Lytechinus pictus: one gene and its partner. Each later gene encodes a partner of the first gene's protein in a complex. Links are inferred from orthologs where the notes say so. Each region holds a gene or a part of one and is shown in the gene's direction. Other genes may lie near its edges.

Region 1 (3,759 bases):
ATTAATATTTAGCTCCGTCAATTTTCACGTTAAATCATGCTTGTCTCGTTTTAAGAAGCCAAATCCAGGGATGAATAATGTGTGCATACCGGTGCATATACGTATACGTGCAGCGCATGAACGGTGTATACACCACACAATACGCCGAATACCTTTCTATGCAATAATCACGTACACACACAATGCGCGCAGTAGTAAACAACGCGTCGCTAAGACAACTGAACCTGAACTCGGGAGTACATCGAGGGAAGGAGTACAGAATCAGAGAAAATTATTCTCACTTTTTGGTCAGAAGAAAACATTTCCTTATATGTCTATATCTTAACATAAACAGAAGCTGCTCCGTTATCCTTATGTCGTACCACAGTCAATATCATAAACAAATTACAGTGATTCTATTTTGTCACAATTTATAAACTTAATTAGGGCAATTTATGCACCCCCAAGAAGTAGTGTTTACGGCCCGGCCTATCTCTACCACACAGACTTCGCACAGTTCGGTCAAGGCGGTACGCGTATCATTAACTGCCAAATACAGCCGACCCAAGCTGAATAAAACCTTCATATTAGGTGAACAAAATAGGGGGTAACAAATTCATATGAAAATGAGAACACCTGATATCAAATACACTCTCAAAAAATCTATAAAGTAAGCATATTATCATACATTAAAATCATAATTATGAAACGCGTTTACACACAATCATACACAAAATCAAGAAATATCTTGCATTGCATGCCCATAATGCCATTAAATCAATCCAAACACAATCAAGAATTTGAAATGAAACATAAATTATATAAGCACCTGATTTTTCTTTATCTGTTCAAATATTATTTTCAGCCTTGAGTATCCATGGCCCTTATGAGCGGGGGAGCTGAAGCATCCCGAAATCACTTTAATAAAAAAAAAATGGCTAGTCAAATTTCTTGGGACCGAAAGCTCCTCCGTTTTGTAGTATACCTCCTTTTTTATTGTCGAATTTCTCTGTACAAAAACAACCTTCAGTTTCCCCCCCTTTCACTTCAGCACCCCCACAATCGTTCCCAGGGGCACTGGGAGTACCCCTTTAATTTTTCAAACAATCCGGTCAACAATCAAACGCTCATAATTCTTTCTTATTGTGTGTCCAATTTTACTCAAACCCATTTTTTGTGCTTTCAAAACTTCTCATCAGGGTTTCATTATCCTTTGACCATAATAGTGGTGGATAAGCTTTCAGATTTTATTCTCTTGATTTTGACCCTAGATGGCGCTCAACCTCTATTATTTTGGATATGCGGGAATTCAAACTCTGAAAACTCAAAGAGAATGGCATCTTCGTTGACTTATTCACGATACAGCAGTAATTCAGATAATTACTATGATATAAACGACATTCTTGCGACTCATGAAAAGATACCTTGTAAGGTTGAACTACCATTGCATCGACTTGGTTTTTTGAATCCTGGTTCAGATGGTGAAAACATACGAGTTGGTACGAAAATGGATCTTCCCTACTGGCTGGTCACCGGGCTCCTCGGGCGGCGCAGGCCTCTTGTAAGCGTTGAACCGCCCAAGTATTTTCGCGGCTCCTACCGAGAGATAATGAGTGCTGATGCAAACATCGTCGATTTACATAAAATGGGCCCCTACTTCTACGCTTTTGGAACTAAAATTCTCAGTTTTGATTTCCCAGAATCCGAAGACATCGCAAAGTCATTGATTGAGGTGAGAATGATTAGTGAATAGATCATTTATGATTTAACGTTAGTTAGACAATAACAAAATCTATAGGCCTACTGTCTAGTATAGTATGACTCTGAGAGTCTGAGACTATGATACTATGAGTATGATATGATATGATATGAAAAAGTGAGAAAAAAAATGTCATGACTATAGTCTTGTGAACTACTGTGCATGTGTGTGAAATTAGAATATGATTTAGCCCCTAAAGTATTTCCAAAGATTTCCCGAAACTGAATCCCAAAATAAATTTCCTGAAATTCAAAGACATATCCTGGAACTTTCAAGTTTGATTTTTAAACAAAAATTGGGCAATTGAATGAGCCTAAACAAGTTGGTCCAAGTGACCATGCCCTCTTTAAAAATAGGATAGGAACAAAATGACTAAATGAAAGTGCAGAGCACAAACAGAAAATTTTGAGCTACACAATAAAGTCAATATATCGAGGTAAAAATTCTTTAGATATTATATGAATATTAAAAGTTGCTATGTTTAATTGTTGTTTAATTAATTTTAATTTTTGGATTTCCCAAGCCGGAATTTCCTGGAGTTTTCATTTCCCGAACCTTTCCAGGAAAAAAAAATCAAAATTTACAGAAATTCTGGAAATTTTGGGAAACACTGCCCTGGTATGACTCCGAAAAAAATATGATAATGTCGAAAATCTGCTTGTGGTATTCAGAATAATGTATGGTTTTGATATAGGTCCAAGCGCTACTTGCTAAACTACAGCTAGTTGCATTGTGGATCATTATTCTTAGTTTTAAGATTAAAACAATTTTGTTTTTGTAATGAAAATTTTCTACTCATTTTTAAGTAGGGCCTACTGCATTTACAAACTTCAAATCACTGCACGTATCTGATCCAGATTTCTATATAATTGTTGTATTTTCCACAGACCTACATTAATCGTTTCCGCAAGGTAATGGATGGCTCACAGAATGCATCTCATGAGGATAATAACCGCCTAACAAGCAAGATGGATGAATCAGAGAGGTCTATCTACCGAGCTGGACAGGCTAGTCTTAGGAGTTTTCAGAGCTGGGAGACGAGACAGATCACAAAGATCTGTACGTCAGATATGGTAGCTAACCACAGGAAGAGAAAACGAGCAGCAATGGATGAAGATGATCAATGAACAAGATAGTTGTAGATAACAAGATATACATCTGATATGGTAGCTAACCACAAGAAAAGAAAACAAGCAGTGATGGATGGAGGTGGTCATGGAACAAGATAGATTATGAAAGATGTGCATATAAATCAATCAGATATTGGTAGCTCACCACAGGAAAAGGAAACGAGCAGCAATGGATGAATAAGATCACTCAACAAGATTGATGTTGATAACAAGACGCATGTATAAATCTGATATGGTAGCTAACCGCATGAAAATAAAACAACAGTAATTGATGAAGATGGTCATGGAACGATAGATTATGTAAGATATGAATTGAATATAGGCCTACATCACATATATGGTAGCTAACCTAAGAGAATAAAAAAATAACGGCAATGGATGAAGATGATCACTGAACAAGATAGATATCATGGTCCCATTTCATACCTTAGACTTATTTAAAGGTCAAGTCCACCCTAGGAAAATGCTGACTTGAATAAATAGAGAAAAATCAAACAAGCATAGTGCTGAAAATTTCATCAAAATTGGATGTAAAATAAGAAAGTTATGACATGTTAAAGTTTCGCTTATTTTTCACAAAACAGTGATATGCAGAACTAGGTGAGTCAGTCGATGATGTCCATCACTCACTATTTCTTTTGTTTTTTATTGTTTGAATTATACAATATTTCAATTTTTTATAGATTTAACAATAAGGACCAACTTGACTGAACCATATAGTATTTAACAATGCTAATTCCATCTGTTCAGGGAGGAATTAATCGTTGTATCACTTGACAATGAGGAGAAAATTAGAATATTTCATATTTCATATAATAAAATACAAGAGAAATAGTGAGTGGATGACGTCATAGTCTTTTCATTTGCATACCAGCCAGGATGTGCATATAA
Region 2 (3,759 bases), on another chromosome or scaffold:
GCCAGGCCTTTTGAGAGCCATAATCAAAAATTTTAATGCAAATATAGTACCGTTCTTACACAAGTGTGCCCCACCCCCTTTTGAAAGTCACAGCATATATTTTAATCATAGGCATTGGCGGCGGAGCAGAGGATTATCTTTTGTGTTTGGGGGGACGCAACAATTGGCGCCCCCCCCCCCAAACACAAAAGAGTAATCCTCTGCTCCGCCGCCAATTATTATATAGGCCTACACAAGTGAAGACCCTTTTTTTACTTGTCAAAGTTTACGTGCGGACGAAGTCGCCTTTATTTTGGGGTGAAAACCAAAACCTAATGAACGGATGTATTCACGAAAACGCTGTTTATATGAATTCCATAGTCGTAAAAATAATGCCCAGTCGGTTATTTCAGTTCGCACATGTTGTTAAAGGTCAACTCCACCCCAGAAAAATGTTAATTTGAATGAATAGAGCAAAATCAAACTAGCAAAACGCTGAAAATTTCATCAAAATCGGATCTAAAATAAGACTAAGTTATGACATTTAAAAATTTTGCTTATTTTCACAAAATAGTTATATGCACAACTCAAATGAGAAAGTCGATGATGTCCCTCACTCACTATTTATTTTGTTTTTTATTGTTTGAATTATACAATATTTCATTTTTTACAGATTTGACCATAGGGACCGACTTGACTGAACCATATAGTATTAAACAATGCTAATTCCACATGTTAAGGGAGGAATTAGTCACTGTTCGCTTGACAATGAGGAGAAAATAGAATAATTCATATTTCATTTAATAAAATACCAAAGAAATACAGTAGTGAGTGGATGACGTCATCATTCTCCTCATTTGCATACCGACCAGGATGTGCATCTAACTGTTTTGCAAAATTAAGCGAAACTTTAAAATGTCACAACTTTCTTATTTTACATCCGATTTTGTTGAAATTTTCAGTGTTATGCTTGTTGGATTTTCATTTAGTTCTCTTTTTATTCAAATCAAGTTTTTGTTCGGGTGGACTTGCCCTTTAAGTAAAGAGAGAAGGCAAAATCAAAGGGTAAATAGGAAAAGAGGAACTCGGAAAATAAGTAAGAGAAAGGAAATGGAAAAAAGGAGGGGGGGGGAGAAAGAGAGAGAGAGAGAGAGGGGAAGGGAAAAGTGAAAACCAAAAATTGGAGATTTGTATTAATATAGGCCTAAGACGTTATTGAAACAGAATATAGATCTAAAGACGGAACATTCTTCTTCCTCCTTGTTTTTTTTTCTACTTCTCACCTTCTCCTTTAATTCTCTCTCCCCCTCTCCAAGCTTTCTTTCCTTGTTCCTTTCTTCCTTCCTTCCTTCCTTTCTTTCTTTCTTTCTTCTTTTCTTTCTTTCTTTCTTTTTTCTTTCTTTCTTTTCTTCTTCTTCTTGTTCTTGTTTTTCTTCTTCCTTCTTCTTCTTATTCTCCCCTCCTCTCCTTTTTCATTAGTTATTATTTTTATTTACACTGGTATTGGAAACGTATGGGGGTTGGGGCAGCTGCGTCTCGAATTGAATTAAATTGACACACACAATCACTGAAAGAAAATCTCAAAAAGCTGGTAATTTATTCACATTTGGCCCTTTAATTATGCGCCATCTACGTTTCAGAGAGGAAAATTACCCGCTCGATGCTGTTATATTTGAATATTTTACTTCCTCTATTTTTCTATCTATTAATATTTTGTCTAATGATTTTGAAAAGTCATGGAAAAAAATTACAACAATTTTGCATCTAATATTAAAGAATATTTTTTTTCATATGGTGATTTATTTTTTGATATGAAAATAAGTTGATTATTAGTATAATCAATCAATTAAAAACATTAAAGTTGAGGGAGTAATTGTTATAAATGGAATTGCACAAACAAATCACATGGCTGCCGTGGCGCGAAAGAAGTGTGCGATGAATTGAATCTCGCGCTGGACCGTACCGCGGATCGGAGCAGGGATCATCTATCAACGGCATCCAATACCCAGCGGCCAGACCAGGCGACGCGCCAGACAAATCACCGTACCGCATTGTAACATCAGTTTATGCACTGCACGTCAATATCTTTGAGGAAGCTCAATTCAATCAATTGTTTTTGTTGACGAGAAAAGTTTATTTTTCTCAAATCTACAATGGATGTTGCTGATCAAAGAACTGGTATCACCCAAGTTAAGGATGATGTTGCAGAGAAATGCCAGAAGCTATTTCAAGATTTTTTAGAAGAGTGAGTTTTTTTTTAAATAAGTTTTAATCCCAGGCATGAACACTGAAGTGATGAATGACGTTTTCCCAAAGTTACTCCCAACTCGGCTTACCTGTAGAATCCAATGTCATGTGATATAATGTGTGTTGATGCCTCGTTCTAACTACAAGTCATAGTGAGTTAGTATCCGTGCTCTCATAATTGAGTAAAGTTACTCTAGCTAACGAGTAACGTTAAACTTAAACTTTAAAGTTAAACCTTTAATAATATGCTAGAATCCAATGAATGTCATTTACTATTTAGAGTAGGCCTACAGCTGGCCGCAGCCGTCTGCTTCGAGGATTTTTTAAACATTTTGTTCTCCTCGTACACAGACGGCTCGCGATCGTGCAGCCGCATTAGAGCCTAGAGGGTTAACAATGCAAAATCCCTCCCGACGGGGCTCATCGATTTTTTACTTTATTTCATTAAAAATATATAAAAAGAACTGGACCAAATAAAGATTGTTATTCCGCTTTATCCTGAAATGCACCAAAACGGGAAAAAATAAACTTATAAGGACAAAAAACAGTGACTTGTCTTAGTCATTTACTTCGGCTGTCGCGCAATTACTTTACTTCCCTGGTTTATCCGAACTTAATAATAATACACAAACATATGGCCATTGAGTACCTGCATGTACTGACAGATCGAGTTAGAACTACGGTCTCTGTAAAATTAAAAGTGTAATTGGTGAGTGGAGCCAACGGTGGTTCAGCGGAACAGCCATTAAACAGATACCGAAGCTTTTGGTCTAGAATGTCATGTGAAATAATGACAATGACGTATCGTGTGTGTGATGCCTCGTTCTATCACTAACGTTACAGTTTGTATCCATGCTCTCAGTCTCATAATCGATTATGACAGTGGATTGTAAAGTTAGATCTCTACTCCGGCAATATCATCTTGCAAGTTGCTTTTAATTTTATTTGCATTTTTTTATTAACATTAACAATGAGCAGCTAGCAGATAAGTTGCAACATGCATGATGAACTTTAATGTGTATCATGTTTATTAACTAAAAAAGAGCAAGCGACAATGTTTTTTTTTTGTCAAAATGACACATGCACATCCAATTTGTCTTTGTTGTTCTGGAGTTCTGTTTTAACAGTGTTAGCATGGGTAGACCGAATTTTGTTCAACTATAGTCTAACAGTCTCAATACTATAGTAGAGGGGTAATGTCAGTCTTATGAAAACAAACATGAAAAAAGAGAGATGAAAAGTTTTTTCATTTTCAAAAGAACTATATTCACCTCCCTCCATAGACATGACTATCCCATATGCACTGCCGTGGTAGGCCTGGGGGGGGGGGCACTCAAATGATTTTTTGAAGGGGTGTGCCTCACGAAACTCTGAAATGGGGGTCAAAGAAACTGACAAAGGGTAAAGTACAGGGTCTTGGGAACTTAGTATATATCGCGCGGTGTGAAAAACATGGTCTACGGAACAGGATCACGGCACTTTAGGTACCCGGTACGGTGCACCATAGCACTGAATGCGCTCGCCATGCATGAA

What was found. The genes of interacting proteins can lie anywhere in the genome.
Region 2: DNA replication complex GINS protein PSF3-like (region 1) and zygotic DNA replication licensing factor mcm6-B-like share a complex: the UniProt entries of both Homo sapiens proteins name them as parts of the CMG helicase complex. The link is inferred for Lytechinus pictus from reciprocal best matches to the Homo sapiens genes GINS3 and MCM6.

The regions. Positions count from the first base shown.
Region 1 is NC_087246.1:26,110,188-26,113,946, reverse strand, and holds the start of DNA replication complex GINS protein PSF3-like, read left to right. Parts: upstream 1-1,275; 5' UTR 1,276-1,312; coding exon 1,313-1,711; intron 1,712-2,625; coding exon 2,626-2,865; 3' UTR 2,866-3,759. UniProt on the Homo sapiens protein: Required for correct functioning of the GINS complex, a complex that plays an essential role in the initiation of DNA replication, and progression of DNA replication forks.
Region 2 is NC_087247.1:29,949,642-29,953,400, forward strand, and holds the start of zygotic DNA replication licensing factor mcm6-B-like, read left to right. Parts: upstream 1-1,641; 5' UTR 1,642-2,132; coding exon 2,133-2,224; intron 2,225-3,759. UniProt on the Homo sapiens protein: Acts as a component of the MCM2-7 complex (MCM complex) which is the replicative helicase essential for 'once per cell cycle' DNA replication initiation and elongation in eukaryotic cells.